Linked DNA regions of Oryctolagus cuniculus. The protein of the gene in region 5 purifies or fractionates together with the protein of the main gene of each other region. This does not show direct contact. Links are inferred from orthologs where the notes say so. Each region holds a gene or a part of one and is shown on either strand. Other genes may lie near its edges.

Evidence for each region.
Region 1: the proteins of RUVBL2 (region 5) and ZNHIT2 purify together in Homo sapiens (affinity purification with mass spectrometry; 5 studies listed by BioGRID and IntAct, counting the BioPlex papers as one, with this or other methods). This does not show direct contact. The link is inferred for Oryctolagus cuniculus from reciprocal best matches to the Homo sapiens genes RUVBL2 and ZNHIT2.
Region 2: the proteins of RUVBL2 (region 5) and DKC1 purify together in Homo sapiens (affinity purification with mass spectrometry; 5 studies listed by BioGRID and IntAct, counting the BioPlex papers as one, with this or other methods). This does not show direct contact. The link is inferred for Oryctolagus cuniculus from reciprocal best matches to the Homo sapiens genes RUVBL2 and DKC1.
Region 3: the proteins of RUVBL2 (region 5) and POLR2B purify together in Homo sapiens (affinity purification with mass spectrometry; 3 studies listed by BioGRID and IntAct, with this or other methods). This does not show direct contact. The link is inferred for Oryctolagus cuniculus from reciprocal best matches to the Homo sapiens genes RUVBL2 and POLR2B.
Region 4: the proteins of RUVBL2 (region 5) and NOPCHAP1 purify together in Homo sapiens (affinity purification with mass spectrometry; 4 studies listed by BioGRID and IntAct, with this or other methods). This does not show direct contact. The link is inferred for Oryctolagus cuniculus from reciprocal best matches to the Homo sapiens genes RUVBL2 and NOPCHAP1.
Region 6: the proteins of RUVBL2 (region 5) and EPC2 purify together in Homo sapiens (co-immunoprecipitation; 4 studies listed by BioGRID and IntAct, counting the BioPlex papers as one, with this or other methods). This does not show direct contact. The link is inferred for Oryctolagus cuniculus from reciprocal best matches to the Homo sapiens genes RUVBL2 and EPC2.
Region 7: the proteins of RUVBL2 (region 5) and ACTR6 purify together in Homo sapiens (co-immunoprecipitation; 7 studies listed by BioGRID and IntAct, counting the BioPlex papers as one, with this or other methods). This does not show direct contact. The link is inferred for Oryctolagus cuniculus from reciprocal best matches to the Homo sapiens genes RUVBL2 and ACTR6.

Annotation. Positions count from the first base shown.
Region 1 is NC_091432.1:6,442,677-6,445,768, forward strand, and holds ZNHIT2 (zinc finger HIT domain-containing protein 2), read left to right. Parts: upstream 1-1,380; 5' UTR 1,381-1,414; coding exon 1,415-2,551; 3' UTR 2,552-2,592; downstream 2,593-3,092. Other genes in the region: delta(14)-sterol reductase TM7SF2, read right to left, coding at 2,745-2,905, 2,999-3,092. UniProt on the Homo sapiens protein: May act as a bridging factor mediating the interaction between the R2TP/Prefoldin-like (R2TP/PFDL) complex and U5 small nuclear ribonucleoprotein (U5 snRNP).
Region 2 is NC_091453.1:133,384,611-133,388,110, forward strand, and holds part of DKC1 (H/ACA ribonucleoprotein complex subunit DKC1), read left to right. Parts: intron 1-349; coding exon 350-441; intron 442-598; coding exon 599-783; intron 784-1,217; coding exon 1,218-1,282; intron 1,283-1,607; coding exon 1,608-1,734; intron 1,735-1,915; coding exon 1,916-2,046; intron 2,047-2,142; exon of another isoform or gene 2,143-2,272; intron 2,273-2,501; coding exon 2,502-2,645; intron 2,646-3,500.
Region 3 is NC_091439.1:107,684,745-107,688,855, forward strand, and holds the start of POLR2B (DNA-directed RNA polymerase II subunit RPB2), read right to left. Parts: upstream 2,801-4,111; 5' UTR 2,630-2,800; coding exon 2,611-2,629; intron 2,224-2,610; exon of another isoform or gene 2,025-2,223; intron 1-2,024. Other genes in the region: NOA1 (nitric oxide-associated protein 1), read left to right, coding at 3,499-4,111. UniProt on the Homo sapiens protein: Catalytic core component of RNA polymerase II (Pol II), a DNA-dependent RNA polymerase which synthesizes mRNA precursors and many functional non-coding RNAs using the four ribonucleoside triphosphates as substrates.
Region 4 is NC_091442.1:107,698,928-107,702,427, reverse strand, and holds part of NOPCHAP1 (NOP protein chaperone 1), read right to left. Parts: intron 2,112-3,500; coding exon 1,975-2,111; intron 1-1,974. UniProt on the Homo sapiens protein: Client-loading PAQosome/R2TP complex cofactor that selects NOP58 to promote box C/D small nucleolar ribonucleoprotein (snoRNP) assembly. Acts as a bridge between NOP58 and the R2TP complex via RUVBL1:RUVBL2.
Region 5 is NC_091449.1:8,259,068-8,261,925, forward strand, and holds part of RUVBL2 (ruvB-like 2), read right to left. Parts: intron 1,720-2,858; coding exon 1,613-1,719; intron 1,508-1,612; coding exon 1,414-1,507; intron 1,204-1,413; coding exon 1,080-1,203; intron 924-1,079; coding exon 829-923; intron 754-828; coding exon 635-753; intron 1-634. UniProt on the Homo sapiens protein: Possesses single-stranded DNA-stimulated ATPase and ATP-dependent DNA helicase (5' to 3') activity; hexamerization is thought to be critical for ATP hydrolysis and adjacent subunits in the ring-like structure contribute to the ATPase activity.
Region 6 is NC_091434.1:93,465,265-93,468,764, forward strand, and holds part of EPC2 (enhancer of polycomb homolog 2), read right to left. Parts: intron 1,496-3,500; coding exon 1,347-1,495; intron 584-1,346; coding exon 451-583; intron 1-450. UniProt on the Homo sapiens protein: May play a role in transcription or DNA repair.
Region 7 is NC_091442.1:103,127,366-103,130,865, reverse strand, and holds part of ACTR6 (actin-related protein 6), read right to left. Parts: intron 3,299-3,500; coding exon 3,230-3,298; intron 2,366-3,229; coding exon 2,242-2,365; intron 292-2,241; coding exon 156-291; intron 60-155; coding exon 3-59; intron 1-2. UniProt on the Homo sapiens protein: Required for formation and/or maintenance of proper nucleolar structure and function. Plays a dual role in the regulation of ribosomal DNA (rDNA) transcription.

The DNA.
Region 1 (3,092 bases), on a different chromosome or scaffold from region 5:
GGAGCTGTCCCCACCAGGAGCGTGAGCAGTCGCCCAGCGCCCTGATGTGCTGGCCCAGGGGATGACTTAGTGCCCTCCCTGCCTGTCCCGGGTGTCTTGGCACTGTGCAGTCACCGCCCCAGCACTGATGATGGCCCAGCAACGCCACCACGCCCAAGCTCCACCTGCCTGTGTCCTTGGCTCCCAGTGTGGAGTCCGCCATGATAATACGTGGAAGACATTTACTGCGAAGTAGAGGCAAGGGGCGGGAGGGGGGGAGCGTGGGTGCAGACGTTAGAAATGCCCCAGCGTGCACTGGGCTAGGCGGGCTGCTGCCGTCTCGCCCTTTCTTCCGCTCAGCCCCGTGCTTCCCAGTGTCCCCTGGCAGCCTGGCTGCTCCTGCAGGGCAGGAACCCATCTCCTCTCCCAAGGCTGCCCAGTTCCCTGCTTAGTGATGAATTCAGGGGCCGGCGCCATGGCATAGTGGGTAAAGCTGCCGCCTGCAGTCCTGGCATCCCCCGTGGGCGCTGGTTCGAGTCCCGGCTGCTCCACTTCCGATCCAGCTCTCTGCTATGGCCTGAGAAAGCAGCCGAAGATGGCCCAAATGCTTGGGCCCCTGTACCCGTGGGAGACCTGGAAGAAGCTCCTGACTCCTGGCTTTGGATCGGCGCAGCTCCGGCTGATGTGGCCCATTAGGGAGTGAACCAGCGGCTGGAAGACCTCTCTCTCTGCCTCTCCTCTCTCTTTGTAACTCTTTCAAATAAATAAATCTTTTAAAAAAATGATTTCAAGCCGGCGCCGTGGCTCAATAGGCTAATCCTCCACCTTGCGGCGCCGGCACACCGGGTTCTAGCCCCGGTTGGGGCGCCGGATTCTGTCCCGGTTGCCCCTCTTCCAGGCCAGCTCTCTGCTATGGCCAGGGAGTGCAGTGGAGGATAGCCCAGGTGCTTGGGCCCTGCACCCCATGGGAGACCAGGAAAAGCACCTGGATCCTGGCTCCTGCCATCGGATCAGCGCGGTGCGCCAGCTGCAGCGGCGGCCATTGGAGGGTGATCCAACGGCAAAAGGAAGACCTTTCTCTCTCTCTCTCTCTCTCTCTCACTGTCCACTCTGCCTGTCAAAAAATAAAAAAAAAAATAAAATAAAAAAATAAAAAAAATAAAAAAAAATAAAAAATGATTTCAGCCGGCACTGCTCAGTTTTGCGGTGCGACCACCAGGGGGCGGGCTGGCACAGACGGGACACTCGTGGCGCCCTAGCGCTGCAAAGGGGGCGGGGCTTCCGAGTGTGGGCGGAAGTTGCCGAGAGCCCTTGTCAGCCTGGCATGGACTAACGCTCGGAAGGCTCCGCGACGAAGCGGAAGTAACCGAGGAGGCGCCGGAAGTTGGCCCGCGGCGCGCGTGACGTCCGCGGCGCGCATGCGCTGCCAGTTGCCATGGAGCCGGCCGGGCCGTGCGGCTTCTGCCCGGTTGGGGAGACGCGGGCCGCGCGCTACACCTGCCCGCGCTGCAATGCGCCCTACTGCTCGCTGCGCTGCTATCGGGCGCACGGGCCCTGCGCCGAGGACTTCTACCGCGACCAGGTGCTGGGGGAGCTTCGCGGCCGCAGCGCCTCGCCCAGCCGCCTGGCCAGCGCCCTGCGCCGGCTGCGTGAGCAACGCGAGACCGAGGACGAGCCCGAGGTAGCAGGCCTCAGCCCGGGCCCCGCACCCGGCGGACTTTCGGGACTCTGGGAGCGGCTGGCACCTGCCGAGAAAGCGGCCTTCGAGCGGCTGCTGAGCCGCGGCGAGGCCGGGCGGCTGCTGCCTCCCTGGCGGCCGTGGTGGTGGGGGCGCGGGGACGGACCCCGGCTCGTGGAGGCGGTGGGGGACGCCGCGGAGCCCGAGCCGGATCTGGAGCCGGAGCCCGCCCGCCCGCCCGCCGTGCCCGCCCGCATCCCCGCGCTGGCCAGCCTGAGCCGCAGCCCGGCCTCGCCGCTCGTGCGCTTCCAGCTGCCCAACGTGCTGTTCGCCTACGCGCACGCCCTGGCCCTGTACCACGGCGGCGGCGACGACGCGCTGCTCCCCGACTTCTGCGCCACGCTGCTCGGCGTTTCCGGAGCGCTGGGCGCCCAGCGAGTCTTCGCCTCTAGCGAGGAGGCCCTGCAGGCCGCAGCCCACGTCCTGGAAGCCGGCGAGCACCCGCCCGGGCCCCTGGGGACGCGGGGCGCCATGCGAGAGGCCGGCCGCATCCTGCTGGGCCGGGGCCCCGCCGACCCCAAAGGCTACACGCTGGCCGCGCTGGGGCACCTGGCTCGGACCCTCGGCCGTGCCCGGAAACAGACCGCGGCTGGCGAAGACCGAGATCGCCTCTACCGCGCCCGGAAAAAGTGCCAGTACCTGCTGGCCTGGGCCAACGAGAACGAGGCGGCCCTCGGGCCCCTGGCTGTGGACTGCGCCAGGGCGCACGGCGCGCACGCGGCGGCCGCGGAGGAGGTGGCCGCCCTGGCCGGGGAGCTGGAGCGGCTGTGGGGCGGCCCTGTGCCCCCCGCCCCACCTGCCCCAGGGGCTCTCATTGAAGAGCTCCCTGGCTGACCTGGGGGGCTTGGCCTCAATAAAGCGGAGATTGGCCCTGCCCGGAGTGACAGCTCAGTTGTCCCGCCCAGCCCCGGGCTCTCGGGCCCACGGCGTGTCCCAGCCTTGCCCTGCCCCAGAATGGAACGGAAGCGGGCGGCGACTTGGAGCCGTTTATGCAGGGGAGGAGGGGTCTCCGCCGGGGCGCGGGCGCTCAGTAGACGTAGGGCACGATGCGGTGCGGCACGCGCCGGCAGTACTCCAGCCACGCGCGGCCGTACTTCTGCAGGCACTGCCGCTCGTCGCGGGCCTCCCGGTGCACCAGCAGCGCCGTGAAGTAGATGATGTAGAAGTAGGGCAGCAGGTGCGACAGCCCTGCGGGGAGGGGCCGCAAGGGTCTCCACGCTGTCCGGCCGGGCGGGGGAGGCCCAGGGCCAGCGGGGGCCGCCCCTCCGCCGGGGCACTCACCGCAGGGCAGGGACCAGGCCAGGGCCATGAGGAGGTCCCCGAGGTAGTTGGGGTGGCGGACCATCCCCCACCACCCAGACACCAGCAGCCTCCG
Region 2 (3,500 bases), on a different chromosome or scaffold from region 5:
AAACTAAACTGGTGATGAAAGTTGGGCTTGATCATCATTTTGGCTACTTTTGTCCCTCAGAAAATCAAAACTGTTGCATGTTTTATTCATAATCTTGCAGTGAAGCCAGTCTTCTTCATAGAGAATAATGAGTTCAACTTACCAATATTCTAGTTAGTGTGATTCTTACTAATTTGGGTGGTGTATAAGGAGCAGAACAGTTTCACAGCAGATACTGGAAATACAGTAGCAAAAATGCAAATTCAGGAATGTGAAATGTTAGCATATCATGGTTGATGATGGTGCTGGCTGTTACATGTGTAAATGGTTTATCATTAACACTATTTTGTATTGTATTGCTGCTTTCTAGAATTTTGACAAACTAAATGTCAGGACAACACATTATACACCTCTTCCTTGTGGCTCAAATCCTCTGAAGAGGGAGATTGGGGACTATATTAGGTAAGTGTGTTGGGAGCAAGCACTGTTGATAGAAACCTACAGTGGCTTTGTCTTGAATGTATAACCTGTTCGCGTGGTGAATTTTTTTAACTCTTCAGGTTTGTTGTTTTATTGCAGCATGAGAGCAAATGGTACATTAATTTTCTGTCCATTCTAGGACAGGTTTCATTAATCTTGACAAGCCCTCCAACCCCTCTTCCCATGAGGTGGTAGCCTGGATCCGACGAATCCTTCGGGTGGAGAAGACAGGACATAGCGGTACTCTGGATCCCAAGGTGACTGGCTGTTTAATCGTGTGCATAGAACGAGCCACTCGCTTGGTGAAATCACAGCAGAGTGCAGGTATGTGAAGACAGAAGGCAGGTTTACCTCCACATTTTGCCTCTTGGAAATTTTCTTCATTAAGGGGAAAAAACCTACCCTGAAGCATGGATATGCTTTTTGTTTCTGTGTACCTTCTGTCCTCTGCCAGATCTTGGTGGGTCTACATTTGGAGTTCATAGAGGCATGTGTTGATAAATTCCGTTCATGCCACTGAGGCAGAATTCTTTCCGAGTCCAACTCTTGTCTTGTTCCAGGTTCCTTTCACGTTATGTTTCTGTGAAATCTGCACCAAGACACTGAATAATGTTGAGCTCCCAATGTCGTCGTTCCATTCCTTTCCTTTCTTTTCAAAATGTCTGCTTTTCCTGCTGTGCAAGATGGCAGCTATGGAGCATATAACAAATACAGAAAACTGAGTGGCCACACCTGACTACTCTTTTGTCATTTTTCAGGCAAAGAGTATGTGGGAATTGTTCGGCTGCACAATGCTATTGAAGGGGGTACCCAGCTTTCTAGGGTAAGTCTCTCACTTTAGGGAAGGGAAGTTGGGTCTCAGCCCTTGAAGCCTTTGGAAACAGCCACCTTTCGTGGCTGACCATGCTCCTGCCCTTTTCAATGGGCTACCCCATCCAGCCACATCCCTTCTGAGGAGCTGCTTCCCATCAGCCCTGAGCCGTCCCAGGGGTTGAAGAACGAAGCAGAAATGGAAAGAAATGGCTTTTTAGTTATTTTGAAGAAAACCTTTTATGTTTTGTATCCTTAAGCTCCCCAAATATGCCCTCTCATCTTATTTAAGAGGCCATGTAGGGAGAGTGCTTGTTTCTATTTGTGCTTATTCTCAGGCCCTAGAAACTCTGACGGGTGCCCTCTTCCAGCGACCCCCACTTATTGCTGCAGTGAAGAGGCAGCTCCGAGTGAGGACCATCTATGAGAGCAAAATGATCGAATATGATCCGGAAAGAAGATTAGGTGGGTTGTTGGGTCTTTGAGGAACTGAGTTATCACAGGCCGCATTGGGTAGGAACTCATTCTGGAAGGTTCTACGGTAATCTTTGAAAATACTATGTGGTGAGGTCATATCATCTCTAGGCTTGATGACTTAGAAGCAGACTAACTCTGGAAAATACTCTGTATTGTGTTTATGTCTTAGGCATATTTTGGGTGAGTTGCGAGGCTGGCACCTACATTCGGACACTGTGTGTGCACCTTGGTTTGTTATTGGGAGTTGGCGGTCAGATGCAAGAACTTCGAAGAGTTCGTTCTGGAGTCATGAGTGAAAAGGTGTGTCTTCATGGAGCTAGAAGTTTTAGAGCTGGTTCTGGGTATCTTGCAGCCCCTGGTGGAACTCTGCCTACTTCACACCCTGGGAAAGGCCACTTCCAAAGTGTTGAGTTCAGTTCAGGGCATCTTCCCTGTTCTGTTAATTAAACTTTGGTACACTAAAAGGGGTTTGGAGATAGAACTGGATAGAAAGTATCACTATTCGTTTATCTCCCAGCCTACAGCAGTGCTTTCATAAAGTGAATCTATAAACAGTTACAGGTGTCCAGAAGGGAGGTGAGTATGAAGACGCTCAGGGTTCTTCATGAGCTTGCACTAGTGGAAGAGATGCATGGTATATGAGTGTCACAAGTGGTATCTTAATTATGTGGCCAAATGCCCGCTGCTGTTTGTGGACCTGTGAACTGTTGGAGATCTGAAGACACTGAGTTTTTTCCTATGTACCTGCTTTTCAGGACCACATGGTGACAATGCACGATGTGCTTGATGCTCAGTGGCTGTATGACAACCATAAGGACGAAAGCTACCTGCGCCGAGTTGTTTACCCTTTGGAAAAGCTGCTGACATCTCATAAACGGCTGGTTATGAAAGACAGTGCAGTAAGTTCTGCGATGGGAATGCGCATTTGAACAGAAACTGACTCCAAAGATAGGATATGGTCTTTTCTTCTTGGAAACTCTATGTGCCTAAGAAACCTTGACTGACTTAAATTGTTCTAAGACAAAGTTAGTTTAATGGGGAAAAGTTGAGATTAGAGAGATTCAGAGCTGTAACAAAGTTATTTATCCTGTAGAAGTTTGAATAAAATATTTTGTTAGTGTAAATAAAACATAGTTTGAGGCTGTGAAAGCGAAACTTCACTGAGGTTATCAACCTCTTTTTTTTTTTTTTTTTTTAAAGATTATTTTCACTCAGGTGGCTGTAATAGCCAGAGCTGAGGCAGATTAAGGCCAGCAGCCAGGACCTTCCTGCAAGTCTCCCATGAGTGCAGGGCCCCAAGCACTGAGGCCATCCTTCACTGCTTTGCCAGGTGCATTAGCAGGGATCTAAATGGGAAGTGGAGCAGCTGGGACTTGAAGCAGCGCCCATAAGAGATGTAGATGTTGTAGGCAGTGACTTTACCCACTATACTACAGTGCCAGCCCTACAAGTCCTTTTCTTAACATATTCACTAACTTGCCTTTTACTTGAGAGTATTCCTATTAGCAATGCAAGTAAATATTTTTCAGTTGGGGTTTCTTTTGTAGTGGTCATTTTAAGAATAAGTTTCTTACTTTCCAAGTAGTCCAGAATTTGTTAAGTATGATCAAAGAATGTAGTTTATAAATTTTGTTAAAGACTAGGCAGGCATGAAAATTCTCTAAGGAGAGAGTAGAATATGGGTAGCAAGAGATCTAGATGAGTGAAGATGGTATAGCATAAGGCAGATAGATTCCAAAGTGCTGTTGAACTGA
Region 3 (4,111 bases), on a different chromosome or scaffold from region 5:
TCTTTTTTAAAAATTATATATTGTATACTACATAAAGAACTCAACGAGGGGCAGGTGTGTGGCCTGGGGTAAGATGCTGGTTAGAACACCTGCATCCTACATCAGAGTACCTGGGCTCAGTCCCTGGCCCTGACCCCTAACTCCAGCTTCCTACTAATGCACATCCTGGAAGGCAGCAGTGATGGCTCAACTGACTGAGTTAATGTCACTCATGTAGAAAGTCTATCACTGGGCCGGCGCCGCCGTGGCTCACTAGGCTAATCCTCCGCCTTGCGGCGCCGGCACACCGGGTTCTAGTCCTGGTCGGGGCGCCGGATTCTGTCCCAGTTGCCCCTCCTCCAGACCAGCTCTCTGCTGTGGCCAGGGAGTGCAGTGGAGGATGGCCCAAGTCCTTGGGCCCTGCACCCCATGGGAGACCAGGAGAAGCACCTGGCTCCTGCCATTGGATCAGCGCGGTGCGCCGGCCGCAGCGCGCCAGCCGCGGCAGCCATTGGAGGGTGAACCATCGGCAAAAGGTAGACCTTTCTCTCTGTCTCTCTCACGGTCCACTCTGCCTGTTAAAAAAAAAAAAAAAATTAAATAAACAGGACAGAGGATCTGATAGGTTCTAAGCATAAGGACATGGAAATGCTAACTGCTTGACTATCAGTTTACACTACATATATGTGTTGAAACACTGCTTGGCACTGCACACAATGTACAAATATTATGTGTTAATCAAAATACTTTTAAATAAAAATACATGACGCCCAGGTTTCTGGTTCCCACAAAAGAGAAGGGTGGTACCATGCTCTAAGACAGACAACCCAGAAGCCGATGGCTTTGGAAGTGCAGATGATGATGGGAGCGGGGGTGCATAAAAAACATGGTGAGCTCAGCCTGGGCAGTGACAATTTACAGAAGCCCAGAGACACTTCAGTTAGAGACGCAGGACATCTGAGCTGGGAATGTGTGCGTATGTATTGAGACGTCATCCACATACACAGTAACTGAAGCCACGGAAAACGCGAACAGCAGGAGTGAATGAGAAGGGACAAAGTCTGATAGGTGTAAGAATCAAGTGACGGTGCTAAGGCTGAGGAGATGGGCTGCCAAAAGGAACTCACCCATGATGCTAAATACCGCAGGGCCTGCCTGAGGCTTACACAGTGCTACCGGCTGTATCAGTGGGAAGGGCATCTTAATGAAGCAGCACTGAGATCAGATTAGAATGTGCTGAAAACCTGAGAGGCCACAAACTCTTCTGAGAACCCCGGTCGCCCATGGAAGGAGAAAGGTCAGATATTCCCAGGAAAGAAACAACTGAGCAGAGTTTAACTTCTTTGCAGGTGCCAAGAGAGATCTGACACTTTCACATGGCAACATCCGAAAGGAGCAGCCTAATTGATGAGGGCGTATCTAACAGACTTCAGAACAGGCAGGAATGGAACATGGACCACTCTTCTCTTCCACAGGTACTTTATACGTTGCTAATGAGAATGTAAATTCGCAGTTAATAGCACAGTGGTCACTTGGCACCATCCTGCAAAATGTTAAATGAATATACCGTTTGACCTGACAATTCTCTATTTAGCGATTTTTTTTTTAATATTTTTTATTTACTTAAAAGGCAGTTCCAGAAAGAGAAAGGGCTTCCATCCGCTGGTTCACTCCCCCAATGGCTGCAGCAGCCGGAGCTGGGCAGGCCCGGGGCCAGGAGCCTCTTACGGGTCTCCCGCGCGGATGCAGGAGCCCAGGCACTGGGCCGTCCTCCACTGCCCTCCCAGGAAAAGACGAGAATGATGCAAATGCCCATCCCTAAGAGACTGGCTGAGTCGCACTACATCTAAACAAGCGAGCAGTGACGATGGACTCCACACACTGGCAGGAAAGCCCACTACATAATACTATGTAAGAAATAGAAATACAGGAGAGCACGAATGGTGCTTTTTGTCTGAAAATCGGGGAACCACACAATCCCATTTACGCTCACTCACACGTACGTAAAGAAACCTTGGAGCAGGAGAATCTGTACCAGCAGCTACCTGCGTGGACGCGGTTCAAACCGGACAGCTGGTGGGTCCGATGAGCCCCGGCGCTGAGACGCTAAGCCTGCGCTTCTGCTTCCTCCGAGAGGCAGCGGAGGCGAGCGGGTGGGATGCCAGGGGGGCTACGGGACTGGGAGCCAGAACACCTCTCTGGCGGCCGCGCGTCCCTCTGGGGCGCAGTCAGTTCCAAGGACACCTTCGAGACAATTCCCCGAGGTTTAGGACTGCACGGAGGAGGGCCACCCGCGGCCGCCGTGCTCCCAGGGCCCAGCACACAACCTAACGGATGGCCAGCGCCACTCCGTCCATCGGTGGCCCGGGGACCCGAGGACCGTCGGGACGCCCCCGAGCCGGAACAACGCCATCTGCCTACGGTTCCGCACGCCACTCCACCACGGGACGAACACAGCCGGCCAGGAGCCTGCACGCGCGCATCCCCCGCGCCGCCACTTCCCGCACGCCCAGCTCGGACCGCGGCCCGGGGGTGGCGGGGGTACACCGCGGGGGTCTCCGGGCGGCGGACGCAAAGCCGTCCAGCTCCCCCATTTTCCCGCCGCGGAGTCTGCGTTGCATGGTCACCTACCCTCGTCCGCGTCGTACATGTTGGCAAACGGTCCAGGAGATCCTAACCCTCAAAAAGAAAAACCACTGAGACAGAAAACCGCGTAGCAGCCGCCACAGGGCCGCAGGCAGAGACGAAGCAACTTCCGGTTCCGGTGTTCCCACAATTCTCTGCGTCCCCGAAGGCCCGCCCCACCGTCGCCGAGGTGGGATCTGCGCCTGCGCCAGTTGAAGCATAGGGCGGGCTGGGCTCGGGGTCGCTCGGGCGCGGCTGAGCCGGGGCGCGACCAGTCCGAGGCGGAGGGGCGGCTCTACAGCTGCTTCACGTTGAACAAACCCCGCCTGAAAAAAATCCAAGTGAATTTGTTAGCGGTTCTGGCCGTGGCGTGAGCTCGCAGGTTTAAGGCTGTATTGTTTGCACTCCAAAGACCAGGAAGCCACAAAACTAAAAGGGATTAAGTGCGACTTGTGCTGGCCGTAGCGCCTTGAGAAAGCTTGAAGAAAGATTTATTTATTTATTTGAGAGGCAGATTTACAACGAGGCAGAGAGGTCCTCCGACCGCTAGTTCACTCCCCCAGGTGGCCGCAACAACCGCGGAGCTGAAGCCAGGAACTTCCTCCCGGTCCCCGACGTGGGTGCAGGGGCCTCAAGGACTTGGGCCATCTTCTGCTGCCTTCCCGAGGCCCCAGCAGAGAGCCGGGTTGCAAGTGCAGCAGCCGGGACTCGAACCTGTGCCCTCAAGGGAGGCTGATACCGCGGCTTTCCCGCTACGCTTTCATCGCGATAACTCGCGGGATCTCGAGGTGGAAGGAAGCCGCACCTCCGGGGTTTGGGGCAGAACGGGCGCCTGGGGCCCCACTGCGCGTGCTCGGTGGTGGCTCCGCCCCCTCGCGGCGGGCCGCGATCCCCATGCTGCCCGCACGCCTAGCGGGGAGGCTGCTGGGCCCCGTGGTGCGGTGGTCCGCGCCTGCGGTGCGGCTGCTGCGGACGGGATGCGCGGCCGCCGCCGCCTCCCAGCCCCCGTCGGGCCTGCGGCGGGCGCTCCCTCAAGGCCCCGCCGCGCCCGGGGACGACACCGAGGAGCGTTTCCTGTTCCCCGAGTACACCCCGGAGCCGGAGCCCCCGCCGACGCCTGAGGAGCTGCTGCGGGCGCTGCGGGAGCGGGAGCAGGAGCAGGAGGAGCAGGCGCGGCGCCGGGCGGAGCGGCGGCAGGCGCGGGCCAGCCTCCGCGCGCCCCCGGCCGCGGGCCGCCCGGACCCGGCGGTGCCGCCCAGCGGCCTGCCCTGCTCGGGCTGCGGGGCGGAGCTCCACTGCCGGGACCCCGGCGTGCCCGGCTACCTGCCCAGCGAGAAGTTCGCCCGCGCCGCGCAGGACGGCCAGCTGGCGCGCGCCGTGTGCCAGCGCTGCTGGCTGCTGGTGCACCACCGGCGCGCCCTGCGGCTGCGCGTGAGCCGCGCGCAGTACCTGCAGCAGGTGAGCGCGGCGCTGCGGCGGCCCGGGCCCGCGCTGGTGCTCTACCTGC
Region 4 (3,500 bases), on a different chromosome or scaffold from region 5:
CCTGGGAAGGCAGTGGATGATGGCCCAAGTACTTGGGTCCCTGCCATCCACCTAGAACAAGACAGAGCTCTGGGCTCCTGGCTTCGGGCTGGCCCAGCCCTGGCTGTTGCAGATGGAAGATCTTTCTCTGTCTCTCCTTCTCCTTGTCACTCCGCCTTTCAAATAAATCAACCAATCAAAGACAAAAAATTTTTTACACCAAAGTAAACTCGTCTTCTAATTCTGCTTTTCCACAAACTGAAATATCCCTGTAAAGCACAGTGTAGTGTGAGAAGTACAGAGAAAACAGAGCAGGGGAAGACCCTGGCAGGGCCAGGAGGGAAGGCCTCTTGATGAGGCCAAGGGAACAGAGAGTCTCGATCAGCAGCGAGGGCGAACGCATTCAGCAACACCAGAAAGCAGGAGGGAAAACGGCCGCAGTCGGCGGGGACACTGGGAAGGAGGCAAGGCCAGGGCGAGCACGGAAAGCAGCATCGTGAGAGCCCTCGGAAGGGGTGATGAGTTCCAACTCATCATCATGTGACGGGAAGCCCCAGGCTGTGCACACAGGCTGTGAGAACAGGCGCCAGGGAGGAAGTGGACAACGCAGGAAGCCCCGTCAGGAAACTGTTGGAACAGTCCAAAGGAGAGACTGTAATCACTCGGGCCAAGGGACCCGGCCATGGAGCCTGTGCGCAGTGGTCGGATTTGGGACTTATTCTGCAGATAGAGCTGATGAATGAGCTTACTGACAATGATGTCGGCTCTGTCCATCCAGACACAAGTGTTAGAAAGGGATGCCCCGGGGCCAGCGCTGTGGCTCACGAGGCTAAGCCTCTGAGTGCGGTGCCGGCATCCCATATGGGCTCCAGTTCATGTCCTGCCTGCTCCTCTTCCGACCCAGCTCTCTGTTTATGGCCTAGGAAAGCAGTGGAGGATGGCCCAAGTCCTTGGGCCCCTGCACCCACATGGGAGCCCAGGGAGACACACCTGGCTCCTGGCTTTGGCCTGGCTCAACTCCTGCCATTTGGGGAGTGAACCAGCAGGCGGAAGACCTTTCTCTCTGTCTCTCCCTCTCTCTTTCTGTAACTCTGCCTCTCAAATAAATAAAATCTTAAAAAAAAAAAAAAAAAAAGGAATTCCAGTATAAAAAGAAGATATCAGTAGAAACTGAGTGACAATTTTAACCATGGTTTATTGTTCCCTTAGACACATTGTTTTTGCACAATGAATCAGACTATGATCATCTCTTTTCGTTAAAAAAAAAAATAACTAAATTCAGTTAGGACATTTAGTAAATCAGTGCTTCATGATAAGAAATATAGAGTGAGCACTTGGCCTCACCAGTGTCTGAGATGCCTGCATTCCATTTCAGGGTACCTGGGTTTGGATCCTGGCTCCAGTCCACCACCCCAGTTTTCTGCTAATACAAACCCTGGGAAGCAGCAGGTGATAACTTAAGTAGTTGGGTCTCTGCCACTCAAATGGGAGACCTGGAATGAGTTCCTGGCTCCAGCATGGTGCAGTCCTGGATGTTGTGGGTATTCAGGGAATGAACTAGCAGATGGAAGTCCTCTGTCCTGTCCCCCTTATCCCTCCTCACCCCTCTGCCCCTGAAGTTAAAATAATAACAACATGGGGCCAGCACTGTGGTGCAGAATGTTAGGCCTACAACATCAGCATCCCATAGGGGTGCTGGTTCCAGTCCCAGCTGCTCCACTTCCGATCCAGCTCCCTATTAATGCACCTGGGAAAGCAGCAGACGATGGCTCAAGTGCTTGGGCCCCTCCACCGAAGTGGGAGACCTGACCAGAGTTTCAGGTTCCCCGAGCCTGCATGGCCCAGCCCCAGACACTGTGGCCATTTGGGGAGTGAACTAGCAGATGGAGGATTTCAGACTCCAACAAAAAGAAAAACCAACACTTGGAAATAAAATGGAAAATCTCTCCCTTGTTTTTAGGAGACCTGTATGAGATGAAAATGACACATAGTTACCATTTGTATAACTTTTCCCAGAGTCCCATCAATATTTTCAATGTTGAAACGACCAGGTGGTGCAGCTGCCATTTCTTTTCTTAGCTTTTCATTTGCCTGGGCCATCTGCGGGAGAAAGCTCTGGACTTGCTCCAACACTATGGGAAGAAAATACAATATAGCAATGCTTATGTTATTAAATTTTTTTTTTTTTTTTTTTTTTTGGACAGGCAGAGTTACACAGAGAGAGAGAGAGACAGAGAGAAAGGTCTTCCTTCCGTTGGTTCACCCCCCAAATGGCCACTACGGCCAGTGCTGCGCCGATCTGAAGCCAGGAGCCAGATGCTTCCTCCTGGTCTCCCATGCAGGTGCAGGGCCCAAGCACTTGGGCCATCCTCCACTGCCCTCCCGGGCCACAGCAGAGAGCTAGACTGGAAGAGGAGCAACCGGGACAGAATCCGGCACCTCAACTGGGACTAGAACCTGGAGTGCTGGTGCTGCAGGTGGAGGATTAGCCAAGTGAGCCACGGCGCCGGCCATATGTTATTAAATTCTAAAATCCAGGATTCTCTGGAAAAGTTTTCAATTGAATAGTTAATAAAAATAATCAATCTTTCAAGTTTCTTCCATTTTGAAAATCTCCATCTTTGGGAGCAGCATTGTGGCAGGCACAATGAACCAGCAGATGGAAGACCTCCCTCCCTCCTTGTCTCTCTCTCCTCTCAAAGCAATAGGACTATAAAATTGTGTAATTATTTCCCCACTGTTCTTTTGTTTCTCATAAACTGCACACTCCTAGAAGGCTGGCAATCATGAAATATGTACAGAATCAGGAGGAAGCATGACTTAACAGATAAGTACACCAGCTCTGGGGCCTTCTGGTGAGAATGGAGCACTAACAAAATCCCAATTCCACTTTCCTACCGTTGAGTGACCACTGCTCAGTTAATGAAGTAGTGGCTGTTTCTGCCTGGCCCCATCTCTCCCCTTCTTCTGATAACATAACATGACTTCTCATTTTTTTAATTAAAAATAGAGATTTATTTATTTATTTGAAAGGCAGAGTTACAGAGAGAGAGAGACATCTTTCTATCTGCTAGTGCACTCCCCAGATGGCCGCAGCAGCCCAGGTCTGGGCCAGGAACTCCATCCGAGTCTCCCATGTGGAGTACTTGGGCCATCTCCCAGCACCTTCCCAGGTGCATCGACAGGAAGCTGCATTGGAAGCAGAGTGGCCTGAACTCTGCCAGGACTTGCACCGGCACCCAGATACAGGATGTAGGTATCATCACTATCAGCAGCTTAACCTGCCGCACAACACCGTGGGCCCCAGCAGCTGTTCTTTCTGATCAGTGACCGGGCACAGTCCTGGAGCTGCTGATAACCAGCCCACCTGCCAACCAGGAAAATCTTGATCTGCTCTAGATAAGCCAACACTGAGGAAAGCAGAGCTAGCAGGTCCAAGGCAGCAAATCTCTGAGGACATCTGAGCACCCGGATCCAGATCCTGAAATCACTGCCCCTGTGGGTTTTTCCCCAAATAAAAT
Region 5 (2,858 bases):
TGAAGCTGGCGGAGACGACCGCGCCCTGCGGGGCTTCTTTTGAGGGTCCAGGAAGGTCTTCCAGGAACAGTGTCAGACAAAAGCCAGGCAAAACTGCCCAGCGCCCCGCCTGGCCGGGCCCAGTTCCCGGCTCACTGATGGCCCCCTGCTGCACAGTGACGGCTCAGCGTCCCAGCAGGGCGGGGCCCGGTGGGAGCGCTGGTGCAGGCTCCACATCCCAGGCAATGCGGGCTCCTGGCCCTCCCCCTCCTCACAGGCTGATGGCTGACGCGTGTGCAGGGGTGGGGCACGGAGGCCACACCCAGGGCACAGGTTCCCGGGACTCATCAGGGCACGGTGCCGGTCAGATGCCAGGGATTTTGCCAGGGCAGCTTGAGGCCACGATCACACAGAGGACGCGCTGCCCAGGCAGCCGGGGCTCAGTGGTTTGTGCGGGGTCGGACAGAGGTCACTGTGCTTCCCTCAGGATTAAGACGTCCACAGCACCCCCGAGAGCTTCCTGGGGCCGGGGCGAGCTGCCTACACCCAGTCACCCACCTGCCTTGCTCCAGGGAAAGGCACGGCTTCCTGTCGGAGCCAGCAGTGCTGGGAGCCCGCAGCCCACGGGGCCCCACGTGACCCCGTGCCAGCTCACCGGGTGATCCCACGGTTGGTGGCCATGATGAGCACAGGCGCCATGTCGCTCTCCAGGGCGCGGTTGAGGAAGGAGAAGCTCTCGATGTCCAGCATGTGGACCTCATCGATGAACAGCACCTGGGGCGCGGGGGCTCGAGTTCAAGGGCACGCCCTCCCGGCCAGGCCCCCCGCCCCTCCCGCCCCGGTGCTCACCCCAGGGATGATCTCCGCCTTGCCCTCCTCCCGCCACTCGGCCACCTTGGCGTTGATCTGCTCGCGGACTTCTGACTTGATCTCCCCGGTGTCACCTGCAGGAGCCAGGGCGGCGTCGGGGAGTCAGGGAGGCGACGAGGCCGAGACCGCAGGGTGGGCACAGAGGAAGCAGATCCCAGCGGCGGCGAGCTGGGTCTCCGCCATGTCCCCAGGCCGGGGGGAGTCGGGGGCTGCCCGGCCTGGACCCTCACCTGAGAAGAGAGCCAGGAAGCCCTGGGTGCGGGAGTTGATGACGTCGATCTCGTGCAGGGACACGGTGTGCACGACCTCCTTGCGTTTCTGGAGCTCCCCATCTGGGCACTGCACGAACTTGGTCTGGGGGGTCAGAGAGTGGTCGTTCAGAAACCCCAGGCCCAGGAGGGGAGGTCAAGCCAAGGGGCACGCAAGGGCACTCAGAGTGAGGGGCAGCGTCCCGGGTTACAAGACCCAGGAGCACAGGGACAGGAGGACCCAGGCCCTGTGGTCACAGAGGCGACAGAACATCCAACGGCCGGGGTCGAGGGTGTCCCCAGCGTCCTGGCGCACCTGGGAGCCCATGGCGTCGTAGTCCCGAGCGCGTGTGAAGGAGCGGCCCAGCTTGGAGATCTTGCCCGTGGCCTTGTCGATGGTGATCACGTCCCTGTGGGTGGGGAGGGAGGGCGGAGGAAGAATGGAGGGGGGTCTGAGTCCCTGCCGCCCAGGCCACCCGGGCCACCCAGGCCACCTGCACAGCCTGCCTGCTCACCCGGCCTGGACCTTGTCCTTGGTCAAGGACTCGATCATCTTGGTGCCCAGGTCGTAGATGGTCTCCATCTCTGTGGTCTTGAGGGTCAGCTTGCCCACCTTGGAGCCCTGTGAGGGGAGATGAGCCAGGAAGGGGCTCAGAGAGGGCCCGGTGCTGCCCAAGGCTCCCCGATGAGCCTGCAGCCCTGTGCCGGCCTCTGCTGACACAGCTCAGAACAGGCGACACGGGGAGTTCCTGGGGGTGAGGGGTCTGTTCCCCGCCACAGCACAGGCCAGCGCCGGCCACGGTGCACACTCTCAGCCTGTGCAGAGTTCTACCTGTCCGTCACAGAGCTGTTCACACTCACACCTCAAAGAGCCTGTTAAGAGAGGGGCCAGCACTGTGGCATAGTGGGTTAAGCCTCCGCCTGTGACACTGGCATCCCTTATTGGTACAGGTTTGAGTCCCAGCTGCTCCACTTCTGATCCAGCTCCCCACTGATGGCCTGGGAAAGCAGTGGAAGATGGTCCCTGTACTCATGTGGGCGACCTGGATGAAGCTCTTGGCTCCTGGCTTCAGCCTGACCAAGCCCCAACCATTGCAGCCATCTGGAGAGTGAACCAGCAGATTAAAGATTCTCTTTCCCTAACACTACCTTTCAAATAATTAAATCTGAAAGGTCCCACAAACTGGCCAGCAGGGTCACACTCCAACGTTCCTCTTTTATACCCATGTTAAAAAATTGGGAAAACCCAGCTAAGCAGAAACAAGGAGACACAACTTCCAGGCCCCACCCTGCGAGACAAGCACAGTTCACGTTTCTCAGTTACATCCCCAGTAGCGGATCCTGACCGGGCCTGCCGGGGGGACACAGCCAGGGATTTCCTGTGTGGCAAAGCATATAACTTAAATAAGTACCTTGGGAAGAGCTTGCCCCCAATTTAAATATTTTACCACATGTTTAAAATTCAAAACTTAGTTGCCAAGAGATGGAACTAATTTAGAAGGCCATTTTTCAATCTATTTGCACTAACAACAAGCAGAAAACAGAAAAACAAGAGGGGCGTCAGGGGAGGGGGGTCAGCCGCATTCTATCAGTGGCTCTGACACACACAGAAGAACCTCCAAAACGCCACACAGAGCGAAAGGAGACGCCGAAGGCCCCCCGCTGGGGTCCCACTGACGTGCAAGGACCAGAACCCACCAGCCAGGGGCTCCGGGGAGGGGACAAGCAGCAGGGCCTGCCTGGTGGGGTCAGGGTTTCCTT
Region 6 (3,500 bases), on a different chromosome or scaffold from region 5:
GATATAACAATTGATAAATGCTGGTCTGGCAATGATGACAAAGAATAACTTCAAATAGTCTCAATAAAGAAAGCTTTAATTTTAGTTTGATACTTGCCACTATGACGCAGGATTTGCTAAGGTTAATGACAACTAAGCTTTATTTATCTTTATTCTCTAGGGAAGCAGAAGGAATACTGGAAAGTGATGTACTTTGGTATCAGACCTGGATTCAAACCTTGAAGGTGCCACTTACTAGCTCCAACACAGAAGTCACGCAGAGGTAAAACCAACTTCAAAGGACTATTGTGAAGATTAATGAGTCAATATGTATATAAAAACACTTAGCAAAGCACTTGGCAAATAATTAGAACTAAATGAATGTTAATTACTTTTTTCCTTAACCAACTGTATTCAGACAACTGCAGAAATCAATATTACCATACTTGCTTTTCCACAGAGGATATTCACCTTAGTTTTACATTCTTGGACTTTGTGATGGTTTCCATTATGAAGAGTTGCTGGAGTGGCATATAACTCTTTTTCTGACCTGCTGATTTTCACTTCATTAAGGATTTCACCACCATAGTCTCCTAAATGATATCTTAAAAAGTAAAAATAAAAATAAAAATACAAAGTTGCATACTTTAACAATAATGGAAAAAAAGATATCTCAATTAGAACACACCTAAACAAATACAGCTAAACATTAATTAGATTTTTAAAAGAGAAAATGTGTGAGAGTAAAGCAACATAGATTTGGGATTCAGTAAAAAAAAAAAAATAAACAACTTTAAAAAATGCGTAAGGTACAGAGAAAATGAATTTGACACATATTTTATATTACCAAGTATTGAGAAATGATGTTTAGATTACTTGCTTAGGGAATCACACAAAATTCTGTTAGATCTGGTTTAGTGTTTTTTTAATTATGAAGGAAAATGCCATTAGAAAACACATCCCGAGAAGAGCTGAAACAAAAAACTTTGTCCACTTAGTCAGAAAACAAAAATCAAACCTTCATTTACTTGAAGTTTTCTTTAATAGAAATTTTTAATAGAGAGAACTGAACAACAGAATCTCTAAGTTCTTTTCTAAATAAAATTCAGTGATTCTTCCAAAAAGCAAAAATACTTAAGTGCATTAGAGGATCTATACAATATGCAAAAGTATTTCAAATTAAAAATTTCATCTGGCAAAAAAAAATCAGTGCCACAAGTCTTTAAAAAATTTTAAGTTGTTAGAGAATCAATATTAATTATCATAAAGCTTAGCCAAAATAAACTTTTAAAAAAAAGATCTTTTGGTTATATTTTGCCCATCATTTGGTTAAAGCTCCTACTAGTATGTAATAGTAGCAATGTTACCTTTTCTCCACAACTTCTAAGGTTAAGTGCAACAATTCTCGTTTTGTTTTCTCTCTTCTCTTAATCATTTCCAAAATTGTTATGGCTCTACTGAACTCTCGTCTCAGTTTCAACATCTTTTCATAAGAGGCTTCATCGTTCTTACGATTCTATTAAAAACAATAATTTTAGAATAAACAACCCATTTATCCATATTTCTAGCTCCGTTCAACAAAATCTTATCCAAACCAAATCTATCCAATAAGGACGAAATGTTAAAAGCAGCAACATTAGAAAATCATCTAACAGCAACTATATAAGAGAACCTACTTAACTCTGAAAACAGAAGTACAAGCAAGTAACTTTTTTTTTTTTTGACAGGCAGAGTTAGACAGTCAGAGAGACAGAGAGAAAGGTCTTCCTTCTGTTGGTTCACTCCCCAAATGGCTGCTATTTGGGGTGTGCTGAGTCGATCCGAAGTCAGGAGCCAGGTGCTTCCTCCTGGTCTCCCATGTGGGTGCAGGGCCCAAACACTTGGGCCATCCTACACTGCCTTCCCGGGCCACAGCAGAGAGTTGGACTGGAAGAGGAGCAACCAGGACAGAATTCAGCACCCCAACTGGGACTAGAATCCGGGGTGCCGGCGCCGCAGGCAGAGGATTAGCCAATTGAGCCGCAGCACTGGCCAATCAAGTAACTTATGATAAATATTCAGAATACTACCACTTCACCAGCTGTTGAGAAGATGCAATGGCATGGAAAAGATAATTCTAATGGAAAGGTGTTAAAAAAATTTACCTGAAAAAAATCTACTACATCAGAACGACAGAGGTCAATGTACCCGAAAATAGCCAAAATCCTCCCTTTATCCAGCTCTGCAACTGGGCAATGTAAGGTTAAACATTCTACAATGTAAACATGAGCAATGCAAAGCCTTACTTCAGAAATTGACCTAAAAACTGAAAGTAGGTTATCAAGCATCTCAAGATATGGGATTATCAGGCTTCAACATAATAATACATCACTGCAGAGTAGAAAAGACATTTAGTTAAAATTATGAATTTCAGAATAATGTTAAGCAGTTCTTATTCTCAAGCATAAGAAATAACTTCAGGGGCCGGCACTGTGGCACAGTGGGTTAACGCCCTGGCCTGAAGCACAGGCATCCCACATGGGCACTGGTTCAAAACCCGGCTGCCCTGGCCTGAAACACCGGCATCCCATGTGGGCGCCGGTTCGAGACTCAGCTGCTCTGGCCTGAAGCACCGGCATCCCATATGGGTGCCGGTTTGAGACCCAGCTGCTCCATTTCTGATCCAGCTCTCTGCTATGGCCTGGGAAAGCAGTGGAAGATGGCCCAACTCCTTGGCCCCTGCACCCACATGGGAGACCCAGAACAATCTCCTGTCTCCTGGCTTTGGATCAGCACAGCTCCAGCCATTGCGGCCAATTTGGGAGTGAACCATCAGATGGAAGACCTCTCTCTCTACCTCTCCTCTCTCTGTGTAACTCTGACTTTCAAATAAATAAATAAATCTTTAAAAAAAAAAAAAGAACTTCAACTAACTGTAAGTGAAAGCCTATTAATTGAAGGTTCAGCTGTAATTAGCAGCATCCATATGACTATAAAAATTACTATTAATACAAACTATCTTTTTTAAAATCAAACATCTGCGAGTACTTAACAATATAGCAGGCACAGAACTACTGGTTCAAAAACAGACCACTACCACACCTCAATTTATGTGCTCAGACGTTCATTTAAACAATCCTTCTGTCTTTGAGTTAATAATTTAATATGGCATTAAAAAGAACCTGAAGAATGCCAGAGGTTTACATTGGAGGCTACAAAGGAGAAATACTGAGGAAAAACTTCGTTTTGCGTTTTTTTCTTTTGTGTATCTTACATTTGAAAAAAATCATCTACTGAAGATAAACTAAATAAAGTCCCTCATGGTACTACATACAGAATATTTTAAAATGCTAACTTAATAAGTCATCCTTTTATCAAACCAAAAGCAAATTCGTCTGACCCCCTCCCACTCAGTACTATGTGGCATCAAGCAAAACTGAAAGTTTAGTTGTAAGCAATCTGATTTTGATAAACAGGCAGCAACAGCACTTTCCAATCTAAGACAATTTCACATCAACACAGCAAATATTAAAGTGGCTACT
Region 7 (3,500 bases), on a different chromosome or scaffold from region 5:
ACCTGTAAGATATGATCTCCTTTAGATGATTGGTTAAGAGTTTTCCTCCCACATTTATCCTAAAAAGGGAGAATTCAAATTTGGCTCAGTTATCACACATTTCATCCTAAGAAATAATATGAAATAAGAAATAATGAAAAATTAAATGCACTCACCGAATAATTGCTTCTTTTTTCTTTTTACTTCTACAATAAGGAACTATGTGAGTAAAGGAGTATCCACTATCTACAATGATGCAGCATAATTCAGAAGGATTGTCTCGGAAATACCTGTGTGCACTGAGAGCCCCAGCTATTCACAAAAAGATTGAAAAAAGAAAAAGAACTCATTAAACAAAAGGGAAACAGAAATTTAAAGCAATAGATGGAACAAACTAAAAATGTTAATTTATGGTATTCATAATTGATACATGGTATTTCTAATGCTGAAACTTCAAAACATCACAGATAATGCATGGAATACAAAAAGAAACACTGGTTGGTCATGTTTTAAGAGTAAATATTCATATCTTTTTAAAAATTTTTATTTATTTGAAAGATATACAAAGAAAGGTAGAGACGGTGGGGGGGAGGGTGGAGAAGGAGAGAGAGAGGCAGCAATGGCTGAAGCTGAGCCGATCCAAACAGGAGCCACGAACTTCTTCCAAATCTCCCATGTTGGGTACAGGGGCCCAAGGACTTGGGCCATCCTCTGCTGCTTTCCCAGGTGCATTAGCAGGGAGCTGGATCAGAAGTAGAGTAGCCAGGACTCAAACTGGCACCCATATGGGATATATGGGATGCCGGCACTACAGGCTGGGGCTTTAACCTACTGTGCCATAGCACCGGCCCCTCATTTCTAAACTTATGATAATTATTACAAAAAAAGCTATTTTTTAATTAGCAATTTATATCTCAGGCTCTATTCTAAACTCTACATAACTTGTTTCTTCTAATACTCACGAAAAGTCCTGTTTACAGACGAAGAGGAACCCAAGGCACAGAGAAGTTCAGTAATATGCCCAAAATCATGTCATGGGAAAGTAGCAGAGCCAAGATTCAGACCTAGGCAGTATGGCTTTCCAGCAGGTTTTCCCAACCTCAGAACCATTGACAGTTTGAATCAGATCGTTAACCCTTTGTTGTTGGGGACTGTCCTGGTGTATTATAGGACATTTAGCAGCATCTGTGACCTTTACTAGAAGCTTACAGCACAATTACAGCTGTGACAACCAAAAATGTCTCCAGACATTGCCAAACGTCCCCTGGAAACAAAATCATCCTTGCTTCAGAACATTTCTTGAGGTTATGCTCTTAACTAGCACAAGTCACTTTTGTAAACAGCATAGAGAACTTGAAATACTTAAAAATCTGTAAGCTAAATATCAGGCAGTTTTTTTTCTGTAACATACATTTTTTCACTAACTCTTTGAAGACCCTTCATATGCATGGTCTTTTAAAAGTTTTGTACCAAAAGAGCCTTATCTTTTAATTCCATTTTCCAGGATCACTTTGAAGTCTCCTTGTATTGGAATGTTTTAACTGTATACAATCATGTAATTCTGTAATAAAACTTGCTATTAAATGACATTTACAGATTGTTTTCCCTCATATTGGCAGACTGAGCTCTTAAAATTATTTTAACCAATAATAATAACAAGCACATCAATGATAAAAAGGATAACTACCTCAGAAAAGTCTTTCAGAAATTAGAAACATGGCCAGTAATTTCACTGGAGAGAAATATCATGAGAGCACTTTAAAAAGTTCATGGAAAATGGAATTAAAAGGTAAGTTTATTTTGGTACACACACACACAAAAAAAAGAAATCCATGTGTAGTTTTTCCATAGAAGGCATTCTCCATGTAATTAGAGAGAGAGATCTTCTATCTGCTGGTTCACTCCCCAAATGGCCACAATGGTCGGAGTTAGGCCAATTTGAAGCCAGGAGCCACGATCTTCCTCCAGGTCTCCCACATGGGTGCAGGGACCCAAGCTCTTGGGCCATCTTCTACTGCTATCCCAGGCCATAGCAGAGAGCTGGATTGGAAGAGGAATAGCAGGACTAGAACCAGTGCCCATATGGGATGCTGGTGCCACAGGTAGAGGATTAATCTACTACACCACAGCACTGGCCCCATGAGTACATCAAGTTTTAAAATTCTGTTTTATTGCCTTTGTATTATGGGATTTTAAGAGTTTCTTTACGCTATTCATACTCATATCCATGTTAATTCAATTTCAATGTAAACTTTAACTCACCATTTACTCTCAATACTGCTTGAAACTGGTATTCTTCAAATAGAATTTCATTCATTGATTCTTGAATTGAAGTGAAGTTAAAATATGGTTCTGTGATAATAATGTTAGTATCTAAAAAATCAACCTATGAGACAGAAAAATAAAAAAACTTTTATAATTTCTAGTGATTATCATCAACACTTGCTTCATAGAAATAAAATTACTTAGGCCTAACAATAACCCTAATGTCTTATTACTATGACAGTTTTATTAAGTGGGCATACATTTATAATTTATATATATACATTATTTATTCAAATAAATATATTTATTAAATTAAACAACCCAAGACACAGAAAAGCCACCAAAGTTCATGTAGCTACTTAGTGATCTTAGCTTAAAGAATCTATGTAGTTAATGAGTATTATGCAACTTTACCTTTCTTATTAGTAGCAATAATTAAATGGTAGTGTCAAACTGTTTAAAGATACATATATAAAAGTAATTAATACCGCTGCAAGTATTGAGGCTGTAATTTTGTTTAAAAAGAAAAAGGCAAGATTCAATATATTTAAAGTTTACATAATTCTCTCCCATATATTCTTGAAGAATTTAAACATGAACATTCTTAGTATAGCTATAATCACACTATTGACTCTAAAAGTAAGAAGTTGTCTTATAATATTTACCCACTCAATGTAAGCAAAAACATTTGCTTGATAAAATGAAAATTACGTAGTGAGATTATCTAATGAAATGTCAAGTAAAATTTAACCTTGAGTTTCATATGGACTATCTCCACTCAACCTCCATCCACTTCAAAATAAATTCTATTAATTTGCATGTATTAAATGTTTAGAAAATCAAAGCTGGGCAAAGCTATATTTAAGTAACTCAAATATGTACTGAAAATGTATTTGCAAGTTTATAAATATTAAAATAAATGCTCTAACTTTTCATTCAAGTAACACATGAAAATAGAATTTGAATACATACTCTAATTTGTTACCTGATACATTTCTTTCCCAAAAAGGTAATCCCAAACTTGTCTTTGAACATCCCAATTCACCAAGTAGCCCTAAAAAATGTTTTAATCAAGTTGATTATTTAAGAATATTTGAACAATTTTTTAAAGTCAGATTAATAGCTCCAAGTCACTGATTCCTATCTATTTATAGTAACCATTTCCAGCCTAATGCTGTATGAATTCTAAACCAATTACTTGGCAAATTTTTCTCCCTTTAGAAGTCAAAAAAATTACAAAATAACATTAACTAAAA